Mus musculus: one gene and its partners. The protein of the gene in region 7 interacts with the protein of the main gene of each other region in a pairwise test. Links are inferred from orthologs where the notes say so. Each region holds a gene or a part of one and is shown on either strand. Other genes may lie near its edges.

Region 1 (3,519 bases), on a different chromosome or scaffold from region 7:
CCAAGGACGGCACTGAGGCCATGCTTGTGCTCAAGTAGCCCTGGCTGGCACAGCGCTGCATGGACAAGAGGGGGAAGGGCCAGAAGCTGGGCCAGGTCCCTCATCCAGAGTTGCCAGCAGGCGCGTCCTCAGGCAGAAGAAGTTCAAGTCCAGGGTCACAAATCTCTGGCACCAAAGGGGACTCATAGCTGGCAACAAGGCCCATGGGGAGAAGCTAGGAGCACCCCACTTGGACCCCCACTTTGTGACTGTGCACAGAAAGGAAGCAGCCGGTGAGCAGGGCTTTATAGGTTGTGACTACTTAATAAATGTGTGGATCTTTTTTTTTTCATTGTTGTTCTGATGACATGTATTCCTGGAGTGGAGTGAGCTTGGCCCCCTAATACTACGTGCTATCCTGTACTAAGGAGTGGGTTTCTGGGAACACGCGTCTGTCTCTGTGTGTGAACACAGTCACCTAGCAGCCCTCCCTGCTCCCAAACAAGCAGCTGGAGGCAAAGGGCCAGGCAGGCCTGAGCAGTCTTTATTCTTTCTGCAGAGGAAATGACCACAGATCCATACACCGAGTCAGGACAAGGGGAGCCAGCCTTTCAGGGGTGGGGCAGGTCCTGGCAGGAGGCAAAGCCTCAGGTGGATGAGGGGCAAGATGGGCAGACAGGCAAGGGCCTAACAAAATGACAAACCCCACAGAGCAGGGATGCTGCTCCCCACCCACTCCCAACCCAGCCAGCACCCAAAAGAGCAACCCGAACATGACTGGCCCAGGACCTACCCAGGATGTGGTAGGCTGGCTGGTGGCCCCTACCTGGGGGGGGGAGTGGGTGTCACATCTCTGCCTAATCCACTGGGGACTGAAATAGCTTAGTTTAGGAGCCAGGACCTCCCTGGGGAGAACCTGACCAGAACTCCCAGCCACCCCCCTCCCCTCCTCTTGACTCAGAAGCCGAAGGTTTCTTGGGAGGCGTAGACCATGTAGAGGAATCCGTCTTCATCCTTCTCCTGTTCATAGATGTCAGCGATGGGTGTGGAGACGCTCACCATGCTGTGCTGGTTGACCAGCAGGAAGAAGGCCTGCGTGGGGTTGAGTTGCAGGCGGCGCCTGTGGAGGCAGGCAGGCATGCCAGGTGAGGAGGCTGCCTGCTGGAGGCCTAGGTGACCCTCCCAAAATGTTACTGAACCTTCACTTTCGGTCCATCTCAGCCAGAGGCTCTCACCTCTACTGAAGCTCGTCCCAACCCCGACCTTGGTCTTTTCCAGCCTCCTAGAACAGGGGCCCGGTGTCCCAAATCAGTCCCCTCGCCCCACTCCATCCCTTCTTGTGGAACCTGACCCTGCCCCACCCAAGGCCTGTAGGAGGCTGCCCACGCACCGGATGATCTTGACCAACTCGCTCATGTTAACATGGTCTGGGACCAGAAACTTGGTCTTATCCAGGACAGGCAGCTGCTTCTCACCCTTGTAGCGCTCGATGATCACCTGGAGTGGAGTGGGCGGGGGACTCGTAAGCCAAGGGCGGGACCTGGCAGGGCAGGGCGTGGCTGGGGGGTGCTAGAGACTCACCGGGATCTTACTGGGGTGCTGGTCGCGGATCTGCTGCACCTCCTTACAGCGGTCGGCTGCGGACAGAGCTCTGTGTGAGGCCCAGCGGTGCTGAGGCCTCCCGCGACTCCGCCTCGCTGATCCCCGAGGGGCGGCTCCCGGCCCGCCCCGCCCCAGCGCCCGCCCCCGGGGCCGTCGGCCCCGCAGCCCTCCACCGGGGGGACGCGGTAGGGAGGCGGGCGACCCTGCCAGGCCTTGCGGCCTCTCCACCCGGGGTCCGGCCGGCCGGTGCCTGACGTCATGGGGCTGACGTCACCTGCGGCAATCGGGGTCGACTGGCACCCCCATCCCTCGATCCCCGATGGCAGTTCGCCCCCCAGGGCCTCACCGAAGCTGCGCCGCTGCTTGAAAGGCCGGTCGGAGGGCATCGCGCGGGCCCGGCGGGGCGCGCAGCCGGGGCTCCGGGGTGCGCGGCTCAGAGATGCGTCTGCGGTTCGGCGCGCCGGGGGCTCCGGGGCTCGAGCTCAAGGGCTGCGGGGCTCGCGCTGAGCCTGGCGGTGGCGGCTGCGGGAGGTAACTCGCCTGGGTGACGTCAGGTCACAACATTCCTTAAAGGGGAGGCCGGCGCGCCGCTCCCATTGGGCCGACGGAAAACCCGCCTGCCTGGACCTGTGACGCCACGGCGCAGACAGCCCGGATTCCCGGCGCAGGTCGTAAGGAGGCGGAGCTCCAGGGCGCGTCACAGTTCTGTGACGTCACGATGGCAAGCTCCTCTCTTTGGCGCCACAGACTCAGAAGCCAGGCATTTGTCGCCTCCATCCAGTCTCTCGACGCTGCGGAGTAGTTCACCGCACCTTCATCGAGTTTAGCATTCGAGAAGGAAGGTGGAGCGGGGAGAGGATGGAACACCCAGAGTTTTAAAATTTTTAATGTGTCTGTAAGTGTATGCCCGCGGATGCAGAACATAGCATCGGATTTCCTTAGGCTGGAGTTAATCGCACTGCTGGGAATCAAGCTTAGGTCCTCTGAAATAATAGCAAGGGCTCTTAATTGTCGAACCATTGCTCCAGACCCCCCACCCAGGCTTTCAAAGAATTCTGGAACAACCATAGAAAGCATAGATTTCCAGAGTGAGGTTGGTTAATAGGTGGTTTAGATAAAGCAGGAGAGAATCGCTGAATGGGGGGGCTATATCAGAAGTGGTTAACCATGAGATGGAGAACATTCGGAACTGACAACACGCGAAGTCAGATTTTACAGGTAGAGCCCCTTGGTAGGATAGAAAGAAGTATGGTCTGGGAATGTTACCGAGGGTCAGGGTAGGATACTTGCCTAGCAGATGGAAGGCTTAAGTTCAGTATCTCAGGTTTTGCGGGAGGTGGAGGGGATAGAGGGACTGGACGGACACGGAGAGGCGGCCCCTTGAAGAACTTTAAAAATCGATTGAAAGCCAGAATCAATGCCAGATGTAGCTGGCTCTCATTTGTAGTCCTAGCTCTATGGGAGTTTGAGGCAGGAGGATGGGCTAGAGTTGAAGTAAGGAAGAAAAAAGATAAAACAAAAGAATTTACAAAGGACCATTGTTTGAAAAAAAAAGTTAGTTTGTACTTCAGAAACATACAGCTCAAAGGGAAGAAATTTGATGGGAACCAAGTTAACAGATGCACGCTTGAGTAATTCTAAACAACTGCTTATGGACAGAAATGGTAGTGATTGGTACAAAAACAAGCTGCTAAGGTAACAAGAATTCAGCTGAGATTGCCTTAAAGAGGCTGGGTGGCGGTGCCTCCTTAACCCCAGCTCTGTGGGCAGAGACGGGATGGTCTCTTGAGTTCAAGGCCAGCCTGGTCTAGATAGTGAGACCTTGTGTTTTGGGTTTTGTTTTGCTTTTTAAATGTCTTAGGGAGCTGGATTTGTTTGGAAAGATATTATTGTCTGCTTGGTCAGGTAGGGTGCTTGCCCGCAAGCATGAGGATGTGG
Region 2 (4,300 bases), on a different chromosome or scaffold from region 7:
AAGGCCAGCCTGGCCTACAGAGTGAGGCCAGGAGTTCCAGAATGGCCAGGATTACACAGAAAACACTTGTCAGGGGGCATAGTGGACAATCCTACCTCTTTGTCATCACCAGGGGGCAACTTACATGTCAGAAAGAAGCCACTCCTCTACCCTGAGATTCCCAGAGCACTCCATACCTGTTCCTACATCACAACAGGGGCTTTTTACTGCTCCTGCCATAGGGCAGGAATAGAGGCAAACAGCTCAACAGTGCTCTCCTCAAAGATCAGGGGGTTTCTCATCCTGCATCTACGGTGATCTCCAGACATCATGGTAACTAACCACAGGAGGACACTGAACAAACTACTAGAGAAAATAAATGCCCCAACTCCTGCTCAACACGGAAGGACATTCACGGGTATAGCACGGGTTCTTTAACCTTGGTCCATCTGTGCTGTGGTGGGAGAGCAGCCTCTCCTCAAAGCGCCTACCCATCAGGGCAGCACTACTCCTGGGTACTGTAACAGACAACCCTGGCTGCCTTCCTCTGCCCTGGCTTTTCCCCAGCATCTACAGGCAGGCTGCACCTCCAGAGTAGGCAGGCTCTTCCTGTTCCTACCTTAAAAGCCTCTACCTAAACTCTCAGGAATCTCTACTCCAGCCACAGATTTGCAAAGTAACAGCACCATAGCCAACAAGGTTTATCAGAGGCACAATTATTGCTAATTGAAAACTACCAAACCTGGTGACACAGGCCTTATCATCTCAGAGATACTTAGGAGGCTGGGGCAAGAGGATCAAAAGTTCAAAGCTTACCTGAGTTTCAGAGTGAATTCAAGATTAGCATGGGCATCTTAATGAGACCTTGTCTTAAAACAAAGTAAAGAGAGGGCTGTGTAGACACAGCTGTGATAAAGCTCTCACTTGGTAAGTTAAGGCCCTGGGTTCAATACCCACTATCAAAGGGGTGGGCAGGTGAGTTGACTCAGCAGATAAAGGTGCCAACAAGCTGTACAACCTAAGTTCAATCTCCAGAGCCCAAATGGTGGGAGGAGATAACCAATTTCCAGGGGTTGTCCTCATACTTACACACTCACCGAGATAACAAATGTAAAATAAATAAAATTAAATATACAAAGGGAAGTTTTTCTTAAAGCCAGCACCTACAAATCCCATAGTCTCACTTTTTATCTCTTTTCCAGACTGGTCACCACCCTCCTCCTAGGTACTGTAACAGAAAACCCTGATTTTCTTCCTCTGCCTAAGCTCTGTTCTTTGAACCTCAAGGGTAGGCAGGCTCCTCTGGTTCCTACCTTAAACCTCACTCTGCTTAAGGCTGCTCTTCTCTTTACCACTTCCAGGTTATATTCAAACACCTCCTTCCTACAACTGAGACAGCCTTTTCTTCTAACACCCAACACTATTGTGTTTGCTGTCCTCCAAGTTTCCACTATGAGCTCATTTGTCTTTATATGCCACAAAGAGGCAGAGAAAACCAACCCATCCAGCCGTGGTAGGGGCTGGGGCTGACCCTTCAATCTGTGTGACTTATCTGCTCAGGCTGCAGCCTTGTTTCATGGCCCTAAGTTAGTAAGCTGTACACCAATCAGCCCTGAGGTGGCTGACTTTGCTAAGAAGACCTGATCCTTGGAGCCAGGGGCATGCATCCACAATAGCCCTGCACTCCCATAATGAAAACCCAGATAAACCATCAGCTGTTCCAAGGAGCCTCTCTCAAGGACTACTGGAACCTCTGCAGGTTCCCTTCTCAACTGTACAGTCCTATCTGTGGCCTTCCATCCTTACTGGGTCTCCCTTTGGATTCCCATCCTATCTCTGCCACCCTTAGTTCCAAGTTTGTCATTTGTGCTTTCTCTTACCGGAAAGAAGCTCCAGCAGGGCCTCTGTAGCCCAGATGATTGCAAAGTGGGTTCTGTTTCCAGTGTAAAGGCTTATGTGGGCACTTAACCTACTTCCTGTTTTAGACCCCAGCCCTCCAACCCCTAGAGCAATCCTGCTCATCCCCAAAAGCTGTCCTGCAGCCTTCTACTTCAAGCACAGTCCTGGGGAGGCTGTACAGACTCATGACTCAGCCACTATCTGGGCTGCCCTCAGAGCGGTGCTGCGGATGCTCTAGAGTCACTCAGTCTTAAAGCCACCTCCTAAGTCCCTTCCCACCCACGGAAGGCAAGATTGCAGGTGCCATCATCCCCTAAGGATGCTCCTCAAAGGCTACGCAGGTGACCATGGTCGGAAGGCAGGCTGGACTGCCAAGCCCACACTGGCCAGGGGTCTCAACGCCACAGGCTCAACTGTCTGCCCAAACCGACTTGCTGTTGCCTGAGGCCTGACTAAGCAGGGGAAAAATTTATTAAGAGAAACCTGGTGCTGAAGGGTGGGGGGCAGACAGGGGAGACAACGGCTGGGCCAGGGACGCCCGCGGCCACCGCTGGGCGACGAACAGAGGGTAGCTTTCGGTCAACGCGGCGTCCATTGCGAAGCGGCAGTCCCAGGACAGGGTGGAGGGCGGGCCTGGGCAAGGGGTCTCGACTGACTGGGCTAGGTATCACTCTGCCCGAGGGTAGGCTCAGACGGTCTCCGCGGAGCGGGGCCCCAGGGTCCTGGCGGCCCGCGCCCCTCACCGCGTTCTTCCTGGTCACCATTTTGTCCAGCCTCCGGGCGATACGAGCAATCTCTTCCTCCTTGCCCATCACTACCTCGGTGGCGGCGGGTTGTGCCGGTTGCGCCGCCCGGCCTGACCTCGGCCGCCGCCGCCGCCTAGATCCGCGGTCCAAACCTCCGCCTGGCGGCCGCGTGCGACAGAATTAAAAAAAAAAAAAAAAAAAAAGAGTCCCCGCCCCCGGGACCACAACTCCCAGACGACTGCGCGGCCTGCGGCCTGCGGCCTGATTGCCCGCTGGAAAAGGTAGTTCCGCAGGTATCTCCGCCGGACCACGGCCCCACGTGCCCACCGAATGCCAGGGGGAGGGAGGACCTAGAGGAGGGAGAAGGACAACCCTACTGCGCTCAGGTCTTTAATTCAACCCATCTGAGCAGCTTGCCCTGGCGGCCGGTCGCGCCTTCACTAGTGCACTTAGATCGCCTCCACTTCCGAGAGTCACTCAGCTCACTCCACACACTTCACTTGGTACCAAGCCGAGTTTGGGGGCTTTCTTGGCGCTGCGCAGGTGGCCGGGACTCTGAAACGGTTTCTCCGCAAGAATTCAGGCTTTAGCCAAGCAATGTAGGCTCATGCCTTTTTAATCCCTGCACTCGAGAGATAGAGAGTCAAGCAGATCCCTGTGAGTTCAAGGTCAGCCTGGTCTACAGAGCTAGTTCCAATACATTCAGGGTTACACAGAGAAACCCTGTCTCGGGGGTGGGGGGTGGGAGTGGGGAGAACTATTCAGGTTCTGAAGTCAACCTAACGGTATAAACCCCAAGTTCTGCACATTGTTGTACGTCTCAGTCTCCCAACCTGTGAAGTGACAATGACAGAGGCTGCGATCAGGAGCCTCCGATTCATATTTTACACTGAGAACAGGGCAGGGTACTGAGGCAATCCGCTACTGAGGCATTACCTCAGGAAGACCCTAACCACGTCCAGGAAAGGGAGAATGGTGCTCTGCTCTTCTTCTGTCCTATACATGGTGGCAGGTGTGCTGGTACTAAAAGTCAATCTGAATTTTTTTGTACCCAGGAGGCCAGAGTGCAAATGACATACACAAATGACCTAAGCTGACCGTTTTAATCAGTTATGACATCTTTACCATAAGAAAAAGGCATGGAACTTCTTGAAGGCAACAAAGCTTTTCCAGAGGTGCAGTGATGGCTGAACCCAGCTCTCTAGTTTCATACCACCTCTCATTCTGCCCTTTACTGAGAGCTGGGCCCTTGCTCTAAGCTAAACCCAACAACAACAACAAAAATTCTGGGAAAGGGAACCCTGTGTTTGAGTACTGAATTAATGCTTTCAGGACCCTACCACAAGACAGGCAGTAAGAGAACCACAGGACCTTCAGCCATGCTGTGTTTGGCTGATGACTTGACCCCATCAAGGGACTGCCTACTGAGTAGTCCCAGCTCTGACTGGTCCCAATGATGAGCAACAGCAGCCTGTAGGTGGCAGGAGCCACCCACAGATCTGCTCAAGAACAGGCTCTTTCCTGAGGAAAATCCAGTAGATCACCAGCAGGGGAGCTATGTCACAAGAAGCCAGATCAAAGGTGTGTTCAATCCTGAGGGGTCCTTACTTGTGGGGTTGGTACTCACCAGCCAGATATTTCCACATTGCAACCTTAGAAAATTCCAACTTTAGAAA
Region 3 (4,146 bases), on a different chromosome or scaffold from region 7:
CACTCAGTCGTTTCCTGTTATTCCTCATGTTTTACAGGTAAAACCCACAACACTGGTCCTCAAACAAGAATTAAGTATATACATCAGCTTGCTAAACTAAAACTGACCCTGAAGAGATTTCAGTATGTCCTTGGAATGGTCGGGAGTGGGGGGCTTTCAGGAAGGTCTATATTGGTGCTATATTAAGTAGCATATCCTTTTGATGGCTTAATTGCTTTCAGTGATGGAACATGGAGGAAACGAGCTCCGGGAGTCTGACAGTAACACTACAATGCTAGACTGGTGAGCGACTGACCGCCTTACCTCAAAGCGGGAAAAAAATCAACTCCTCAACAAGTTTTAGCAAGTTCCTCACATACTTTGTGTGCAGTCCCATTTCCCCAGAATCAAGGAAGCACATAAACACGTTCTGCCAAATCAAAGAAACCCAAGTGACTAGGCTTGCCAACTGAGGAAGTCAAATCCGGAGCTAATCTATTCTTTTCCTCCTAAGAGCTACTTTGAGTCCTAGATGACGTCAGACCAGATTCCACCCAGACCAATTAGGTCCAAGAGTCCAATGGCAGGTGACGCCCTAGAAAGAAATTTCTGAGAGGATGAAGTTTCCACTGATAGTTTCAGGGCTCTTTCCTCAGGACTTCGCCTGTGGATAGAGGGGTAATCCTGGGGCTGGGGAACATACACGTGTCTCTATGGGAACCTAATGCGAAGCCAAGCAGAACAAAGCGCAAACGATCACGGTAGTTCAAAGACTTGGGGTTCTAAAGGAAGGACACGAGGTACGGCGAGGTGGGAAGGCTGATTTTGGCAAGAAAGGTCAGAAATCGTGGAAGCGGCTCTTATGTTTCACCCAAAGGCTCTCCAGTGGAAATGGAGAAACATCCCATGTCTCTCGTTGCAGTGTAGGCTGCTCTCCCGCCACACCCCTCCTCTTCTGAAAAACTGAGATCCGTGGTGCCTCCCATCCCCAGAAAAGACCTGAACTTCATCCCCGCGCGCCATCCCGTGCCTTTTGCCCAGGACTCAGCAGAGCCTGTCCTTCCCCTCTGCACCCGCACCTCTGGCTCTCACCGTCCGCGGGGACGCCTCTCCGAGTCTCAGTCAAGTAGCAAGCGGACTCGGTGCCACCTCTGGCCTGCGGCTGCCTGCAATCTCGGCTGTGAGCTCACATCCTGCGCCCGCCGACTCCGGAGTTACAGCCCAACCCTACAGATCGGGAAAGAGACTACAAGACCCGGCATGCACAGCGCGCGAGCTAGCAGTGGGTCGAAAACTTGACGTTTGACTTCCTTCTACTTCCGGGTTCGGGAACAAATCTACTTCCCGTGTCGTAGTCCCCGCCCCCTGAGCAAAGGCTTCTGGGCCTAGTGGGCAGTTATCGCGTGTTGCATCTATTTCCCAGCAAGCACCGCAGGGTGGGCGGATGCTGGTGCTTCTGGACTCGGGGGTGACGTGTGGCTCCTAGATCTTGTCTCCGTGGCAGCAGCCGGTTGCAGTTGCCGGAGAGAAGCTTCTACCGACAGTCGTCAGGGCCGCAGAGCGCTGCCGAGGCGGCTCGTCAGGTAGGTCGGGGACGTGGAGGACTTGGGACGGGAGGAGGCCGACGTGACCCAGCGCCGAGGATTGGCTGGACCGGGTGGAAAGCGGCGGTTTCCCTACCTCGGAGTTTTTAGGGATCGGGTTTACACTCAGCTCAGCCTGGCTCCCTCGATGTCACCGGTGAACCGAGGTTCGGACATTGCAGGAGTATAATTTAGTAAAGACAGCCGCGCCATTTGCCCAGTTCTTCCTGTGTCTACGCCTTCTCCAAACTCCACAGCTACAACTATTTGTTGTGCCTGCGGACCTGGGAGAGCCAGGGAGCGTAGAGCCAGGCACAGCCTTCATGCTTAGGAAACTCAATCCCACGTTCCTGGAGCATATTTGTGGTGGGAGTTAGGGGTGGGCTGGGGATCTGATAGCCCGCTATGTACCATATCTATCTTACCCATCTCTTTAAACTGTCCTTTCCAGCCATACTCTCGGTCCAATCCAGATCCATGGCAATCGTGTTTGGCTCCTTTCTTCACTTTTCTCCAAAGTGCTGCATTAAGCATTACTAAATTCTGTCAATTCAGACATCATCTGATCTCTGAACTCCCGTTCGGCTTCAAATCTTTTCTTCTGTTACAGCCTTCTGTTTCCACATGAATTCATTCATTCTGCAAACATTATCAGAGTGCCACTTACCTGCAGGCAGCCTGCTTAGAGATGCTTGGCTCACAGTGAGAAATTTGGAAAGGACGCCTCTATTCTGCTCTTCCCTGTTCCCTCTGTTTGGCCAAGGCAGTGAGTGATCTTTCCAACTCTGATCAATAAGCACTGCCGAAATCCACTGCTAGCGGTTATCATTATAAAAAATAATCCAAGTTCAGCTGGGTGTGGTGGCGCATGCCTTTAATCCCAGCACTTGGGAGGCAGAGGCAGGTGGATTTCTGAGTTCGAGGCCAGCCTGGTCTACAAAAGTGAGTTCCAGGACAGCCAGGGCTACACAGAGAAACCCTGTCTCGACAAACAAAACAAAACCCAAGTTCATTTACTCATCCAGCTATAGCCGGTTGCCAGCCTTGCTCCCTCTTGCTGTTTTGATCCCAGGACCCTTTGTGTCAAAATCTTCCAGCCTTAGGACGCCCCCATATGCTTTTCCCTATGCCCACAATGTCCCTCTCCCTTCTCTTAGAAGATTTTCTGGACGTGTTTAGGTCCCAGATTGTTTTTTCTGAAGGCTTTTGTTGACCTCTCTGCCTACTTGAGTTATGTCCTCCTGTAGAATCCTGACAGAGCACTGAGCGCTGTTCCTCATACCCTGATCACAGTTTGTGTTTATTTGCTTACTGTCTGTCTAGAGACACTATGTTCACTCTGTCCTTGGAGCTGGGATTCAATAAGGGTTTTTGTTTTTGATAAATGCATGTTAACTCAGAAGGCAGTAGGAGTTCAAACAAGTGTTTGCAGTCTCATGTCATATGAACTCTTCCATAGGACCTGGTCCAGTTAGTCCCTAGGAGCTCTTAAATACTCAAACTATCCAACTAGAACAACACAGGAAGGCAATTGTTTTTTTGTTTTTTGTTTTTTTGAGACAAGGGCTTGTGTAGCACAGGATAGCCTGGAACTCAGTATGCAGCCCAGGTTGGTCCTAAACGTGTGTCAGTCTTCTAGCAACACAGTGAGTTGCTAGAATTAGAGTCACGCATGACCATAGCTAGCTTTTAACTCTCATTTTAAAATTCATCCTTTTTGTTTTGTTTTGTTTTTCATTTCAGGGCATGCATTTGAAAAGCCTTTTTGGGACCTTAAACAGGGATTTATGACTATGCTTTTATCTCGCTCGCAGCTTAGGCCAGATACACCCAAGTGAACTGAAATTGTCTTTTCTCCTTGCTTAGTGATATTTCTGTAAAAATCACTTGATGCAATATAATCCTTCAGGTTCACGTGTCTGTTTTCCTCCAGCTAAGCTGTGCTGCTCCAGGGCAGGCACCATGTTGCATTCATCTTTACGCCCAGCATCTAGCAGTGTCGGCATGTAGTAGGCACTCAAGAAATGTATGTTGAATGAACGATGTCTGTGACAAGCAACTGGACTTTCCTCTTTCCTGACCCTTGCTCCTATGACATACCTCCTGATTGCCACTGTCACCCCTTCAAAGCAGACCTCTAGGGCTTCCTGGAAGGGAAACAGGTGAGGCTGAGAGCTGGAGGCAGAGGGATGGGTGTATGAGGAGGGCTGGGGTGGTGTCTGGGATGAAATTCAGGTCGCTGCTGGTTTCTCTGCAGCTATGGCCAAGGACATCTTGGGCGAGGCAGGGCTGCATTTTGATGAACTGAACAAGCTCCGAGTGTTGGACCCAGAGGTCACCCAGCAGACTGTGGAGCTCAAGGAGGAGTGCAAGGACTTTGTGGACAGTGAGTACCATCTGGAGACACAGTGTTGTTCTGCTTTGAGCAGTTTCCTTACCTGACCTTGGCCATTGTTCTTGGGTCTACCAGAATGAAGTTGCGTGCTCTCTGGATTGAGCCTGGTCTCTGGGTTCCCATGTGTACCCAACCTTCTCTGCTTGCCCTCTTACACTGCCATGGAGTCCCACATTTAGTGCCAAGCAA
Region 4 (3,991 bases), on a different chromosome or scaffold from region 7:
CAAGGGAAATCTGCTGTTCACATTGCTCCCTCGGACCACACATTTGCCAGCGAGTCCCAACCAAATCATACTTAGCGCTGTCCTGGTCTGCCTGCTCCCGCCTTCTGCCTCACAGCATATTGAAGCTGTTCTTACAAACTGGAATGATGTTGTGGAACAAGTTTACCAACGTCTTTTACAGGGGCTCTGCCCTCACGGATCAATCATCTGTGGATGGTCCCAGACCCTTAGTTCCACCATCATGGCCTGACCCTGAGGTCCACCATCATGGTGGTTTAATGCCAAAACGTGCAGTTTGGAGGCATATATTCAGACCATAGCAACCCTAGAGGAGGGTAAACCCAGTCTTAGCTTGACCCGACAGAACCTGAGAGTCACTTTTCTGACATTTTACCCAAACTGGGTTAAAATTACATGAATCTAGTACATCTTTTCAGCTAGAAGTCTGCAGAAGAACTTTTAAATACAGTTAAGTGTTAAAAGCTTTAACTGGAACTTAGTAGGACACCATTTATTGACTGCATTCTGGTGGCAGGTGTTCCACACACTTCATTTCACCTCGCCTTCAAAGTAGCCCAGCTTTCCAGAACTTGGGCTCATGGGAGGAATGCGCTCAACATCACAGGGCTGAAAGCAGAAGATCCAGTCACTTGCCCTTTGGCAAGGTGGGGGGGGGGATCTCACAAAAGTTGGGGGGGGGGAGACAAATGGCCAATAAATGAAATCTTCGAGGGGCTATTTGAAAACAGTGCAGACAAAATTCATATTTTGATTTCTAAAAAAAAAAAAAAAAGCTGTAATTTACACATTAGAGGAAAACCAGAATTGCTTGTTGCTGTTCTAAAGTTCACAAAGGTAACTGTGAAAGCATCCCTTGGGCTTGCTAAGGCTCAGACCAGTGTGCTTCAGGGACCGTTTCCTTTCCACACCTTACATGCACAGAAGGCTTAGTGAGGTTGGTGAGCTGCTTAGCCAGGTAAGGGCACTTGTCTCAAAGCCTACATTCGATCCCTGGGACTCAGATGGTGTAAAGAAAGAACCAACGCCTACAAGCTGTCCTGAGCTGCCCACACACCAGTCATGGCTTCTACATGTCCATCCTCACAGACACACATAGAACAAACATAAAAATAGAGACGTGACTCCAAAGGACAAGCAAAATCCCCCTTCCTCAACACTACACTTTGCCCCTCTCTCCCACTAAACTCTTTAAGTTGGAGCCCTTGGCCTGGAGCTTCCACAATCCACTAATGGAAACACTGATGCTGTCACGATTCTATACACCACCCTTGTTTCCTAGACTTCCAGCCAGCTCATCAAAGGCCAGGTGCACTGAGGCCTTTAAAGACCAGATGGCACCAGGATGCATTGTGAAGTGGCAGGAGCGTCACAGGCCACATGGATCACAGGATCTGAGCGTGGGCTGGGTGTCTGCAGTGGCCCCCTGAAGGTCCGTCGACCTTCTGTAGACTCTGGGCCAGCCGGGAAGGGAGCATGGCCGGTTTCCATCTCTTCTCCCCACGGTCCTATGGGGAGCTCGGGGAACCCTTGCTAGCTGGAGAGCAGGAGTTCGCAGCCCAGCTGGGCTGGTCTGAGTTGTCTCTGAGTCCCTGGGCCCAGACTCCTGGCGCCGAGATCGAGACCGAGGTGCCCTGGGTGCACCCAAAGTGTTCGCCCACTGGGCGGTCCCGCCGGCGTGGGTATATGACCTTGCCACGAGAAAGCCACAGCCTGACATACGTGGCCCGAAGACCCTCGGACCGAGCCAGGAAGCACAGGTCCGGCAGCCTCTGCCTGGAAGGAGCCTGCGGGGAGGCACCAACCAAGTCCAGCAGAACCTGGCAGCAGCAGCAGCCGCCACGGGATCAACCCAGCCCGCGCTACCCTGCAGCCCGGGGAGATTCATCCCTGCAGTACATCCGGGAAGCTTTCAGTCCCCCGAATGCTGGAACGTTGCTTGTAGAAAACACACACCCTGGAGACCGGTGGGCAGTGCCGGTGGGCAGACGTGTAGGTCTCTGGTCTCCTTCCTCGGTTCTCACCGACAAGTCCTCTGTTCACTCCCTAGAGTTATGTAAGCAATCCACCCAGAATAGGAGTAACCGCGACCTGACTGAGTCCTTAAACAAGTATGACTGTCCCTCTGCCTCCTGCAAAGAGAAGAGTAGCCAGCACGCTCAGGTCCTCAAGAGCAAGCTGGACGAGACGGTTATATCTTTGAGGGACCAGAAGATCTTGGCCCTGGTGCTGAGCAGGCTCAAGAAGGCCCAGAGGATGCGAGAGCTGCAGCAACAGGCTGCAGTCGCCTGGGAAGAGCTGAAGCGCTCAGACCAGAAAGTTCACTTGACCCTCGAGAGAGAGCGCAAGCTGCTGCTGCTGCAGAGCCAGGAGCAATGGCAAGGACAGAGGGAACAGCACAAGCCTCAGAGGGGCCATGGCCATGAGCAGCCTCACCAGGGTTACAAGCAGCAGGGACCGCGGCGCGACCGCCAGGCAAGGAGCGCTGTTCGGTCAGAGAACGAGAGTGAGTGGATGGTTCAAGCTGACAACCCGGAGATCCGAGGCCTGGCCAAGATGGACAAGGTGCAAGCGCAGGCCGAGCATCTCAAACAGTGCCAAGTGCAGAGTCTGCGGGAGCAGGAGAGGGTGCTGCAGAGTGTTCGGGACCTGAACAGGCTGCAGCTGCAGAAGAGGCTGGAGATAGCGGGTCACAAGAGGGAGCATGTGATGATGGAGAGCCCGAAGAAGCTCCAGGAGAGCAACCTGAGCACGGTTGTCAACTTCCAGGCCCGCAAGGTTCTCATGGACTGCCAGGCCAAGGCGGAGGAACTCCTCAGGAAGCTGTCGCTGGAGCAGAGTTCCCAGAGCTCCCAGAGCTACCAGGACATCCAAAAGGGTCTGGTGAAGGAGCAGAGGCACAGAGAGCAGCAGGCAAAGGCCCAGACTGAGGCAGAGCAGTTCCAGAGAAGGAGATGGCATGCCGAGGAGGCAGAGGAGCTGCTCCAAGTGAGCAAGCGGGTGCTGGCAGAGCTGGCTGAACAGAAGAGCAGGCAGGCCAGGAGTCATGCGCACAAGACCACCAGGGACAGGGCGCAGCACCTGCAGGAGCTGAACATCCTGCGCGAGAGGAACCATCATATCTTGAAGCTGACAGCGGAGAAGGAGGAGAAGTGTCACATCAAGGGCATCAAGGAAGCCATCAAGAAGAAGGAACAAAGGTTAGCGCAGATGACCTCAGGGAAAGATCCCATCTTCCAGGAGTATCAGAAGGGTCCCGCGTCCTCCAAGATAAACCGCTGCTTTGACCAGGTGGCAGCAGAGCCCCAGCTGTCCGTGCACCTGCAGAGTGGAGTCTACTGAGAACCCAGGAGGAAGAAGGCACAGCCTGGCAGCCAGACAGAGACACCATCATGCAATTCCGCTTTATAATCCGATTTTAATCGAGCATTGATTTTTAAAAATGTATATAAAATAGCTGCATTTTCCTCCCATGAATTAGCTCATTGATTCTCTTGGATGGTGTGGGGGGGAGACTTGGGGGCAAGTACAAAATCTGTTTGACTTTGTGGGATTTCAGTGTCTCTCAAGGAATCTAGAAGCACACATCAGGCCAGAGTTAGAGGAGCCAGAGAAGAACGTGCAGTTAGAAATACGGTTTTATGATGGGACTTGGTAATTCTTTTTTCTATTCTACAACCTGAGAGAGGAGAAATATGGAGTGTGAAGCTGGAGCAGTTTCCCAGGGGAAGAAGCAAAGGTGGGCTGGGAGAATCTCTCAGCAACTAGAATGGAGACTCTGGTAGTGTAATCCTTTCTCCAGAGCTCGTGGTGCAGTTTTAAACTTAAAAGCCTATAGTATAGACACTCCCTTAATGTAGCATTTGCCACAGACCTCCATCCTTTTTCTATCCGTGGAATGATGTTCTGTGATTAGATGCCTTTTCCTTCTTTTCCTTTCTTGTTTTGGTAAATGGCTGCATAGTTCCTCCCA
Region 5 (4,136 bases), on a different chromosome or scaffold from region 7:
ATTTTTCCTTCAAGTCAATGAAGCTTAGATTCATACAGTTTTCTTAGAGAAACAGTCTTCATCCTAAAAGACAGGAGTCAAAAGTAGCTTTAATTAACTCATCGAGTCTCATTCACAGACAGTGAGTGTTGTGACCTGGCTGTGGGCACTGGGATAAGGAAGTAAGTAAGGGCCACCGCCAGTTTTCCAATAGGTGTCCTGTGGAGCTGGACCACGCACCCGAAATCCTCATCGCCCGCCTTAGGAGACACACCGCGCTCAACTCCCAACTCAAGCATTCTTGTCATCTTCTCACAAAACAAATGATGACCTGGGTGCAGGGAGGCACTATTGCGACATTACTTACGGATGGAATGAGCTCTCATAAAGGAGTCGACAAAAGCTTAGAGGGCAGAAAGCATCTAAGGTAAAATACTGCCATATCAGAGAAAACACACAAGCAAATAAAAGAGCCCAGTATTCTGCTTTCACCAAGTCGAGAATACCAAGAAAAGTCCCATTCTCAGTCTAAATGCCTGGAGACAGGCAGCCGCGTCCATGTGCTCTACGTGCAAATAGGTCCTGTGCAAGGCTTTACGCGACTACATCGGCAAGTCAGTTGTCGGGTTTCAGGGAATCATAGCCTTCTTTCAGGAGGTCGCGCCACGTCTTAAGGAAGCGTGCATTTTCTGTACATTTCAGGGCAAGTTCTTCCACTTGAGCTGATACCGCAGACGTGGCTTCCAGAAGTTTAGTTAATGAAAACGCCGCCTACAATTTAATGAAAGAAAGAAAAGTCAAGCGGGTTTGTTTGTGGTACTGGTACCCAGGACCTCCAGCACTGAGCTACACCCTGAACCCCACACACGCTTTTTAAAAAAAAAAATCCTCATCTAACTTCATAGTCTAAATATAGCTTAAAACCTTCAATCAAATGCCCACATGTTTTTCTTTAAAAGAAATGAATTTTCAAAAAAAAAAAAAAAAAAAAAAACACTGGTTCTTTCTTGAAGCCGAAGTCTCAGAACAGGGGAGGCACACAGCTCTACCCAAGCTGCACTCAGAGCCTCTAAATTTTTTCATAACGTAACTTTAAGGAAGAATACCTGCCATAAAAATACTCACTGAATATGACAAGTCAGTATTTTTAACAGAAAACACATCCAACTCTCATATATTTCCCCAAGGCAACCTGGAAACCTCTTGACTAAAAGTGGCAGAGCCATCCAAAGGACTTCCTCACTTTGCCTGGTAACGAAGTAAGAAAAGCCCTGTTCCACTATTTTCACCCATGAACACTTATTTTTGAGCTATAAATAAGTAAATAAATAATAAAATCAAAGAACTTATACTCTAAGCTGAGCTGACAGAACATCTAAAATCACACACAGCTATGAAAAACTCACTTTTAAATCAAATGCTTTCTTCACCAAAAAATATAAAATAACACTTTTTTTATATCATGTCAGCATTTATTGTTCACATTTATTTGTAACCTGTATTGTTTGGGGGGAGGGACCTGGACTAATACTTCAGCCATCTCTTTTGACAAAAGAATAAAAACCTGTCAGCCAGTTCTAGTTTCCAAATCTTTTGTGTGGTTATTCCACAACCCTCTCCAGGAAGATTGTCTGCTACATACTTCAGTCCTTTCTCCCTCTCAAAGAGTCCTTATAAAGTGCCACTGTAAACACATAAGTGGATGCTCACAGTCAGCTATTGGATGGATCACAGGGCCCCCAATGGAGGAGCTTGAGAAAGTACCCAAGGAGCTAAAGAGATCTGCAACCCTATAGGTGGAACAACATTATGAACTAACCAGTACCCCGGAGCTCTTGACTCTAGCTGCATATGTATCAAAAGATGGCCTAGTCGGCCTTCAATGGAAAGAACGGCCCATTGGACTGGCAAACTCTATATGCCTCAGTACAGGGGAACGCCAGGGCCAAAAAGTGGGAGTGGGTGGGTAGGGGAGTGGGAGAGGGTATGGGGGACTTTTGGGATAGCATTGGAAATGTAAATGAGGAAAATACCTAATAATAAATAAATAAAGTGCCGCTGTGACCCTCCAACCCCTCAGCGTTATACGTGTTGGGGTCAGGAAGTTATTTCTGGGAATTCGAGATTGAACAAAAACTTTACAGAATTTTTGCATTGCAAGATTCTGTTCTAAACTGTCCTATCAAATCCATCTGCCGGCTGTGATTAGCCCTGGTCCACTCAAGTCCAACACAGAGCCAAGTAAGCGACACACAACAGCATCACCAGCTGGCCCTGGGCTGGTGGCCAACTAGAAGCACAAGCTCGAGTCCCTTAGAAAGCACCAATGGGCAAGGAGGCAAGCTATGACCGCCCAAAGTGCTCCGAGGGATGGGAGGAGGCGGAGAGAGGATCCTGGCAGCGGGGCTGCGGATGACCGCTAGCAGAAGGAGAAGGAAAGAAAGATGCGGGAAGAGAGAGCCGAGGCTAGCCCTCAACTCCAAGAACCGCAGGCAGGAGCACCCTAGCTGCAATCAGCTCTCAGCCGCAACGGCGACACTCACGTCTCCGATCTGCAGCTCCACTTGCTCCAGCGGGTCCACGGTTGGACCGGGACTCCTGCTCGGATCCCGCCAGCCCAAACTCACTGGCATGCTGAGGGACGACGAAGAGGCGCCTGACGACGGAGATGAGGGAGGCGGCGGCGGCGGCGAAGAAGCCCGAAACTCCTCAGAGTCAGCCATGGGAGTGAGCTGGGGCTACTGGACCGGATCAAGCAACCGAACCCTCACCAACTGCCTTTCGACCGCTCGCGCCCAAAGCCCATAGGCTCCGCCTCCTCCCACACGGAGTCCCGCCCCATCTTCTCGTTTGTCTCTGCCCTGGACCCCAAGTACGTCTCATTTTTTCCAGACAGCCAATCAGATATCAAGCCAGGCGTCACCAGGCTCCTGCGCACAGCTCCAGGAGCTAAACACTACAACTCCCAGAATGCCTAGCAAATCAGCCTCGCTATGCTTCTAGGGCGCATGCGCACACGCGAGAGCTTGTCGGCCTCTTCTGCACACTAGGTTCCTGGCTGAGGATGACTGGGAGATGGAGTCTTCTGCCTTTTCCTGGCTTGTATGTGACCCGGAAACCTTACTGGCCTTCGTGTCCTCTGTGGCGCCGGCGCAAAGCAGAAGAGGGGCGGGTACGCCGCGAAGCAAGGGCGGTCGGCAGAGCCCAGACGCTGACAGAAGCTGAGCAGTCGGGGCTTCTTGGCAGGTGATGGCGCCCCTCGTAGCCTAGAAGTCCAGCACCCTCGGCAAGCCGCAGACCCACGCCTCTCTCCTTTGTATCTGGTCAAGTCTCCGGGTCACTTTGAACATGTTGGTGCGACTAACCAAGCTGTCCTGCCCTGGTGAGACGAAACTCCTGGTGGGGACAGAAGGAGCAAGGTGGATAAGTTGGGACAAAACAAGACTGGGGCCACACCCGGGGTACTGCCAGCATCTCTTTCCTTGTCTATTGTCTTAGGCTAAACTAGGGCAAAGGTCAATGCTGTCAGCGCCTGGTGGCCGACCCTACCTTACCGACCTTGGAGTTGCCCCAGTTGGCAGAATTATCATCTAGGTTAAAGGTCATGAGAAGAGAAAATTGTCAACACTGCCCCCTCGGTGGAGTTCCCCCAAATGCCGCTCCTAATCTTTACCTCAAGGCTCAGGTATTATCTGCCGCCTTATTAGGAATGGGAAAGAAAGAAAAACTTGTGTGGGTTTTCGCCTTGGCTCTGACCTGACTTTGCAGCCATAATAGTCTAATCTTAATTGAAGTCTGAGCTCTCATATCGTATTAACTCATATATTACCAATTATGTCTGGAGTCGGAATTTTTTCTGCATTATCCAGAGTTAACACCAGGCGTTTCTGTTATGGGTGTTTCTTAAAGCAGTTGCAGGATAGTTTTAAGTTTTTACTTAAAAACAACCCCCTCGTTCAAACAGAAGTTTAGAGGATCTTGAATTCTGTTGTAACTGGCTTAATATAAATCTTTACTGAAGTTAATTTGGCTGTGGGATTTTTAAACAAGTATTTGTATACTTGTTTAAACAATATGGTGTATATTCAAACCAAGCATCTATTATCCACAGAAGATGGTATGCTTTGAGAGCCATCAGTTTACAGTCTAATTTAGAT
Region 6 (3,320 bases), on a different chromosome or scaffold from region 7:
AAAAGGAAAAAAAAAAACTCCTCACTCTAGCAAGGAGAGCACAGAAACCACAAAGCATCTACTGGCATACATACTCACGGGAATATATGCTATGGAATAATAAGGGCTAGACCAGGGGTTACTAGATGTGCATCTGACTATTGGAGCACAATGGGAAGGCAGTATCATGTGTGACATCGTACAAGGAGTAGTACAGTCACAATCTTAGGTCACATTATTTGTATATGAAGTCCTCACTACAGTTTTTCCCAAATCAGATCCTAACTTGACACTTTAACTCATTCCCTGTACTCAGATAATGGAAACTCTTACGTGGCCTCCGGTTTGCTCTAGAAAGAGAGCTTCCAGATGTGCCTGTCCTAAGCCGAATCTTGGCCGTTTATGTGGGAGCTAACTGGGAAGACAGGGCTCCAGGTTCAGACGGAAAAGGAGCCAAGGGTTGCTGGTGTCTCTTTTCTCCATCTATTGCTAGATGTGGATGGCTGACAGGCAGGAAATGGAGTGCACAGTTCACTAACAAACTGTGCTTCCAGAGACAGTAACAGAAGGGTGAGCATGGTGATGCTTTGCTACCAAGAACCACTGGAACCGGCAATAAAGTACTACAGTCAGGAAAGACTAGAGAGAGATTTCAAAAGATTAAATCGAGTAGGTGCTCAGTCCCTAAAGGACAAAGGGTATCTAATCTCCCAGCGTCACAGTGCTGTGTGTAAGAGGATCCCCATAAATAACACCTCCTGCCCTACTTCCCAGGTGTTTAACAAACCCTGGAACCAGAGCGAAGGGACACCAGGCTGCTGGGTATTGTGATCAAGACCATTACCTCATACAGCTGGCCCATGGTAGCACTGGTGGGAGGGATGGTGTTGTTGACAAAGAAGAATAAGGCGTCCTCAGGTCTCAGGTGGATCCTCTTCCGGATTAAGAAGTAGAACTGGCCAACTACAGGAAGGAAACAGAGAGCAGGGTGAGAAATGAAAAAGGATTAGTAGGAGAAACCTCAGAAAACAAAATAAAATCTATTGTGTAAGTACAAGCTTTTCAGACCCAAAAGCTGTCCGAGAGCCTTAGTGGGAAAATAGAAAAGGAGGCATGTACAGTGTCTGACCCACCACACTGGGACTGTCCCCTCCCTTCTTCCTCATCCATCTTCAGACTCAATATTAGCAAATCTATCCAGCACGACTATTGTGGGGGAGTACAATGTAGATCCAAGCATTCCCATCTAAATGGACTCCTGATTCCTTTGGGGTCCCATTTGCACTCTAAGAGCTAACAATAGGAAGAGATCCACTGCACTCTGGCCCTCCCAGTACCATGGGGGCAAATGTTGGGACAATGAGCCCACGCAACTTCTTCCTGCAAACAATGAAGCTCTGGGAGGCTGACAGGCAAATGCGTGAACACTGCATCTAAAAGAATCTTTCCAGGGCATCCTGAAGGCACCTGGTACTTCTTTAAGAACAAGGTAAACTCTAAATACATATAATTCAAAACAGAAAGTAGGCTAGGTTTTGCAGTTTTCATCTCCCAGACAGAAGCACATTTAAAGATAAAGTATTTGGATATAAATCTCTGAAATGTGATCCTCCTTGGTGACAATACCCAAGACACGGCTGGAGCTGATATAAATCGATCCACCTCAGGATAGCATGGCTGATTTTTAAAGTGGTATAAATGACAAACTTTTGTTCTTTACTCCCAGAGTACTGCTTTCCTGTGTCTCCATGACTAGGGTACATGAGTATGGCATTGGGAAATATCAAACAGAACTAGAAACAGGAGGGCAGAGTATGCCTATCTGTACTGGCCAGCTCACTGAAGGAAACCATGCAAGGTCACCACCTACATGCAGTGACAACCCATATAGTCACCAACTTAGACTTAAAGATCAAGAATGCTTTGCCTGGAATGAAAGGTCAGAAGAGAGAAAGATGGTTACCAGTGAGGTCGGAGGGCACAAGGTACTTCCTCTTATCCAGATCAGGGACCCTGGCTTTAGGAGCCTTCTCCACGATGACCTAGAAGAACAGGAGACTGGGATGAAAACCAGACAGCCTAGCATTGTCTTTTTCCTTACATACCTGAAATTTGCCCATGCTGTCCAGTCTCATTTTTCAGTCCCCATTTCCAATACTCCTTGAGTTTAAACAACTACAAATTACCTATAAAGGGCTATAAAAGTCATTCACCCTACGGTATTTTATTAGAGAATTGAAGAGATGTTCTGTGTTTCTAAGATGTGTCTGATGACCTATTTATTTTTCCTCTAAAATACCATTTACAGACCCAGGAGAAGAAGCAGTCACAAAAGCGCTCTCTGTCAAAGTGTGAAGACTGAGTTCTGATCCCCAAACTCCATGTGAGTGCCCACTGGATGTGCAGTCCCCATGCTGGGAAGGCAGAAACTGGAGATCCCTGGGTCAAGCTGGCTGGCTGGAGTAACTAAAGGGGCAAGCTCTGGATTCACACTGAGTAATGTGAAGAGTAAGCAAGAATTGTGTGAGATACCAACATCTGGCCTCCACATACATACACGCAATCACACACATGCTCCCTCGCCTGTGTACACACTTACACAGAGGGGGAAATGCCATTTGTTACAAGCACAACATTATAATTTAGAACTTCACTGCCTTTCAAAGGCCGTTGTGTTAAAAAAAAAAAAAAAAAGTGCTCCTGCCTTGGTGCTATGAGCAAGTGGTAGAAACTTTAAGGGGTGGGGCATCATGGAGGTTTTAGGTGTTTGAGCCAGAGACTAATCCTCCCTCATCTGTGCCTCTATGCTTCTAACACGATAGTTTGACGCACCACCAGGCCAAAGACTGGGGCCATCTAAGAGCATGGACAAAGACTTCTGAAGTCAGTAGCTTTCTTTCCCTATAGAATTTGACCTTCTCAGACACTGCTACAGTGATGACTAACACACACACACACACATACACATACACACGCACGTAATGTGGTTCAGATTTCAATCTTTGCAGAAAAGTGTTCATTGCTGAGTGAAAGCTATTTTGAATTTTTATAATGAGGGACACTTTTTGAGAGTCACACACTAAGTTATTCAGCATTAGTAACCGTGTTAGAATTTTAAGGGACTTTCAATGTCGACATTAAGTTTTTTCATAACACTTTTAAAGATTCTGCATTTTGTAACAAAGAAAAAGACACAAAATCTTCGGTGATGTTTACAGAGTGGCTCAGAGAACAGAAAATATCTGACAAGAATATTAACATTAGATTCTTTGTTTTGAAAATCTCATCTTAGAGATAAGAAATGGGAAATACACAAAAGCAAAGAAGCAGAAACAACACTG
Region 7 (4,047 bases):
ATTGTCCACACTAGGTTCTGCAAGGCGGTCACTCCACCTTCTCTTAAGCTCTGTGCCTGCCTAGCTTCAGGTCAGTCTTTTTTATGGAACACGGCTATAGTACTCACATGATAGAGGACAGACTACAGAGACTGAGTTTCCTGATGCAGAGCCTAGGGTGTCAAGACACCCGGGCTAGCTACAGGTGGCCACAGATAGGACACAAAACTCAGATCCTCTTCCAGTCCAGCAAGTGCTCTGTGGCATCTCTGCAGTCCATTCTTCCACCAGCTTCCAGGGTCTGCCTGTACCTGCTCCCCACCTCACCACTGAGCTCAGCTCTGTGTTTAGGTTCTACAGACTGAACCTGGGTCCCTAAACATGTTACCAGCTCAGTTAACACATCAAGTGCACCCTCCCTTCAAGACAGGGTCCTGGGGCTGGAGAGATGGCTTAGTGGTTAGGAGCACTGACTGCTCTTCCAGAGGTCCTGAGTTCAATTCCCAGCAACCTCATGGTGACTCACAACCATCCATAATGAGATCTGACGCCCTCTTCTGGTGTGTCTGAAGTCAGCTATAGTATACTTATGTATAATAAATCTTTGAGCAAGCAGAGACTGAGCGAGCAGGGCCGATTGGAGCAGGGCTGACCGTATTGAACAAGGCTAATGGGAAAGAGCAGGGTTGACCAGAGCAAGCAGAGGTCCTAAAAAATTCAATTCCCAACAACCAAATGAAGGTTCACAACCATCTGTACAGCTACAGTGTACTCACGTACATTAAAAAAAAAAAAAAAAGGACTAAACCTCCGAAATGCAAGCCAACCCCAATTAAATGCTTTCTTTAAAAAAAAAAAAAAGATGAAAGAAAAAAGAAACTAGCTATGGGCAGGACACAACTCTTTCCATCCAATAACCACACCAAGTCCAGTCACCCGGTAATCAAGCATGACCATGGACAAACCAGGGTTTTAGACCCTAGTACAAGGGGAGAATGCAGGACGATCCAGCCTTCATGGCCAACCAGAGCTTCATAGAGCGTCCCAGGCCCACCTGAGCAACACACACTGGCCCTATTTTAGGTGGGTGGCCTGTAAGACAGTGCCTAAAAGATGTTTGCTGTCTATACTGAGGACTCCAGTTCAAGCCCTGGAACACACCTGGCAGAAAACCCCTTCATGAGAAGGTGCATGCCCCCATTTCCCAAAATAGACTGTAAATTATCTTAAGAAAGAAGAAAAACAGCCAGGCAGTGGTGGCGCAAGCCTTTAATCCCAGTACTTGGGAGGTAGAGGCAGGTGGATTTTTGAGTTCGAGGCTAGCCTGATCTACAGAGTGGGTTCCAGGACAGCCAGGGCTACACAGAGAAACTGTCTCCAAAAACCAAAAAAAAAAAAAAAAGTAGAAGAAAAGTAACTTGTGATTAAAGGGCATAGTCAACAACTAGGTTAACAGCTAGCATCTCTCATGCAGAATTTTAATTCCAGAGATTTTGTTCTAGATCAGGTATCAGTCCTGGTCTGGGACTGAACTGGAAGCATGCAGAAGCCCTGGGTCCTTCAGGGCTTAAGGTCAGTTTGGGCTGTACATACTGAGTTTTGGGCCACCCTAAGATGCATGAAACCCTATTTTAAAACAGAAGCCTGGTGTGACAGCTCATGTTTGCCATCCTGGCACTCAGGTGACTAGAAGACTGTTGTAAGTTTAAAGTTAATTTGCGCTACATAATGAGTGGGAGACGAGATTGAGACACATAAGACTGTCTAAATAAATACGTGCTGGAGAGATGACTCAACGGTCAAGAGCACTGACTGCTCTTCCAGAGGTCCTGAGTTCAACTCCCAGCAATCACATGGTGGCTCACAACCATCTGTAATGGGAATCCAGTGCCCACTTCTGCTTTGTCTGAAGACAGCGACAGTTTATGTATGCACATACGTGAAATAAACAAATAAGAGTCAGGTGTGGTGAATGCCCTGCCCGTGCACAGTGCTAGAGAAGACAGTAAGAGCAGAAGTTTCAGGTCACTTTTGCTTTGTGAGTTACAGACTAGCCTGGAACAAATGAGACCCTAATCCAAAACAAGACTCAACACAAGCAGATGAGGTAACTCACGCTTGTCATCCCAGTACTTTAGAGACTGAGGAAGATGCATTTCAAGGAGACAGAGGCCCCAGTCTGGGCTGCTATCTCAAAATTTTAATGACTCTCTTTATAGTTGGGTGGCCGAGGCAGGATGATTACCAGGAACTGGAGGCTAATTTGAGCTATCATCTAAAGAAACACTAACTCTCCCCCAGGAATGTCAGGCTGACTGGAATGGCTCTGAGCCTCAAGGTCACAGTAGGAGCACAAGGAGCCGTCCGGCCCGAGTCCTCTAAACGGACTTCAACTCTTCCGGCCAAACTCTGAAGGAGAAACAACAACAACAAAAGAACCAAACCAGATAAGGCGTGACTCAAACAAACACGGGGTCCCCGCCCCTTTGAGCGGGGAAACTGAGGTACACGCGCACCCCAAGCCGCTCAGGGCTCCAGGTCACACAACTAGGGTTTCCATCTAGATTGGCCCGCGCTATCGCTGCGAATCCGGGAAAACTGAGGCTGTGTCCCCGAGCTAGGATGGGCCCTCCCTCCCCTCCGTGGCCTCCTGACGCCCCGAGTTCCCGCCCTGCCCGGCCCCGGCGGCTCCAGCCTCGGCACCTGCACATCTGGCGGCCTGGCTCGCGCTTCCGGGAGGGCGCCCTAGCGCTTACGTCATCATAGAGCGTCCACGAGCGCCCCCTGTCCTGGCGCCTAGGAGCCTGCGCGTACTCACCGCGAGGAGGCGGGAGGACCAAATTGTAGAAGCCCTAACGTGAACGCCAAAAGGATGAGCAATCGCAGCACTAGATACGCGCACGCGCTGTGTCCCAAACATGGCTTTTAAGCAATCCGGAAGTGGGCAATTAAATGTATTATTTATCAATCCAGTGTTACACAAGGAAACCCTATCTCGAAAAGTAAACAAAAAGACAAGGTCATATGTACTCAGGCTGGATTCCAGCTCGCCATGGAGCCTAGGTTACCCTTAAAATCCTGGTCATCCTGAAATGGCGTGTACGCCATTGTATGCCACCATGTGTGACTTTCAGATTTTTGAGGTATCGCTGTAGCCCAGGCTGGCCTGGTACTCGGTATTGTGAGAAATAATCCCCTCTCTCTAATAAAGAGTCTGGTGAAAGAGATGCAGGGATTTGACTTGTTTTGTTTGGGTTTTTCTAGACCGTTTCTCTGTGTAACAGAGCTCTGCCTGTTCTGGACTTGCTTATTTAGACCAAGCCAGACTCGAACTCATAGAGATCTACCGGCCTCCTGAGTGGTCGGATTGAAGGCCTGTGCCACCAGGACCGGCCAGTTTTGGTTTTATGAAACAAGATTTCTCTTTTTATCTCTGGTTTTTCTGGGACTTTTTCTGTACGTCCAAATAAGAGAAACCGTTTTTAATATGCCTTCTGCAAAAAAAGGATTTCAGCATAGAAAAAAAGGCAGAGGCTGGCATGCTGATTTCTTGCAAACAAGGCAGTATTTGATTTCTTTTTTTCTTCTCCTACTCCTTTCTTTGTGTAGTCCCGGCTGTCCAGGAATGCCCTTTAGTGTTTTGAACAGGTTGCTCTTTAACTCAGAGATCTGTCTTTCTCTGCCTCCTCTGTGCTGGGATCAAAGGTATGTACTACTATGGCCAGCTAACGTAGTAGTTTTTTTTTTTTTTTTTAAGATTTATTTATTATATGTAAGTACACTGTAGCTGTCTTCAGACACTCCAGAAGAGGGAGTCAGATCTCATTACGGATGGTTGTGAGCCACCATGTGGTTGCTGGGATTTGAACTCCGGACCTTCGGAAGAGCAGTCGGGTGCTCTTACCCACTGAGCCATCTCACCAGCCCCCCGTAGTAGTTTTTAAAGTCCTGATCATAAGTAACCTCAGGCTTTTTCCCATAACTGGATACTCAGAGAGTTACAATCTTTGTATACCTTACCATAGTCTTTAAATTCCCCATTCTATTCCAGGGATTTAAAATCTTATC

The links.
Region 1: the proteins of Kxd1 (region 7) and Map1lc3a interact in binary tests that used the Homo sapiens proteins (3 or more experiments, as listed by UniProt). The two-hybrid records come from large-scale screens. The link is inferred for Mus musculus from reciprocal best matches to the Homo sapiens genes KXD1 and MAP1LC3A.
Region 2: the proteins of Kxd1 (region 7) and Tcea2 interact in binary tests that used the Homo sapiens proteins (3 or more experiments, as listed by UniProt). The two-hybrid records come from large-scale screens. The link is inferred for Mus musculus from reciprocal best matches to the Homo sapiens genes KXD1 and TCEA2.
Region 3: the proteins of Kxd1 (region 7) and Ift20 interact in binary tests that used the Homo sapiens proteins (3 or more experiments, as listed by UniProt). The two-hybrid records come from large-scale screens. The link is inferred for Mus musculus from reciprocal best matches to the Homo sapiens genes KXD1 and IFT20.
Region 4: the proteins of Kxd1 (region 7) and Ccdc185 interact in a two-hybrid assay, tested with the Homo sapiens proteins (2 studies listed by BioGRID and IntAct). The two-hybrid records come from large-scale screens. The link is inferred for Mus musculus from reciprocal best matches to the Homo sapiens genes KXD1 and CCDC185.
Region 5: the proteins of Kxd1 (region 7) and 4930579G24Rik interact in binary tests that used the Homo sapiens proteins (3 or more experiments, as listed by UniProt). The two-hybrid records come from large-scale screens. The link is inferred for Mus musculus from reciprocal best matches to the Homo sapiens genes KXD1 and C4orf46.
Region 6: the proteins of Kxd1 (region 7) and Gabarapl1 interact in binary tests that used the Homo sapiens proteins (3 or more experiments, as listed by UniProt). The two-hybrid records come from large-scale screens. The link is inferred for Mus musculus from reciprocal best matches to the Homo sapiens genes KXD1 and GABARAPL1.

Annotation. Positions count from the first base shown.
Region 1 is NC_000068.7:155,275,055-155,278,573, reverse strand, and holds Map1lc3a (microtubule-associated proteins 1A/1B light chain 3A), read right to left. Parts: upstream 2,211-3,519; 5' UTR 1,968-2,210; coding exon 1,928-1,967; intron 1,617-1,927; coding exon 1,561-1,616; intron 1,477-1,560; coding exon 1,370-1,476; intron 1,100-1,369; coding exon 937-1,099; 3' UTR 501-936; downstream 1-500. Other genes in the region: Pigu (phosphatidylinositol glycan anchor biosynthesis class U protein precursor), read left to right, coding at 1-38. UniProt on the Homo sapiens protein: Ubiquitin-like modifier involved in formation of autophagosomal vacuoles (autophagosomes). While LC3s are involved in elongation of the phagophore membrane, the GABARAP/GATE-16 subfamily is essential for a later stage in autophagosome maturation.
Region 2 is NC_000068.7:181,678,797-181,683,096, reverse strand, and holds the start of Tcea2 (transcription elongation factor A protein 2), read right to left. Parts: upstream 2,801-4,300; 5' UTR 2,691-2,800; coding exon 2,622-2,690; exon of another isoform or gene 1,860-2,621; intron 1-1,859. UniProt on the Homo sapiens protein: Necessary for efficient RNA polymerase II transcription elongation past template-encoded arresting sites.
Region 3 is NC_000077.6:78,535,015-78,539,160, forward strand, and holds the start of Ift20 (intraflagellar transport protein 20 homolog), read left to right. Parts: upstream 1-1,346; 5' UTR 1,347-1,562; intron 1,563-3,495; 5' UTR 3,496-3,724; intron 3,725-3,819; 5' UTR 3,820-3,821; coding exon 3,822-3,948; intron 3,949-4,146. UniProt on the Homo sapiens protein: Part of intraflagellar transport (IFT) particles involved in ciliary process assembly. May play a role in the trafficking of ciliary membrane proteins from the Golgi complex to the cilium.
Region 4 is NC_000067.6:182,746,626-182,750,616, reverse strand, and holds Ccdc185 (coiled-coil domain-containing protein 185), read left to right. Parts: upstream 1-1,436; 5' UTR 1,437-1,494; coding exon 1,495-3,360; 3' UTR 3,361-3,491; downstream 3,492-3,991.
Region 5 is NC_000069.6:79,627,743-79,631,878, reverse strand, and holds the start of 4930579G24Rik (uncharacterized protein C4orf46 homolog), read right to left. Parts: upstream 2,801-4,136; 5' UTR 2,703-2,800; coding exon 2,523-2,702; intron 751-2,522; coding exon 595-750; 3' UTR 1-594. Other genes in the region: Etfdh (electron transfer flavoprotein-ubiquinone oxidoreductase, mitochondrial precursor), read left to right, coding at 3,328-3,361.
Region 6 is NC_000072.6:129,536,192-129,539,511, reverse strand, and holds part of Gabarapl1 (gamma-aminobutyric acid receptor-associated protein-like 1), read right to left. Parts: intron 2,022-3,320; coding exon 1,943-2,021; intron 943-1,942; coding exon 824-942; intron 1-823. UniProt on the Homo sapiens protein: Ubiquitin-like modifier that increases cell-surface expression of kappa-type opioid receptor through facilitating anterograde intracellular trafficking of the receptor. Involved in formation of autophagosomal vacuoles.
Region 7 is NC_000074.6:70,520,381-70,524,427, forward strand, and holds the start of Kxd1 (kxDL motif-containing protein 1), read right to left. Parts: upstream 2,801-4,047; 5' UTR 2,683-2,800; intron 1-2,682.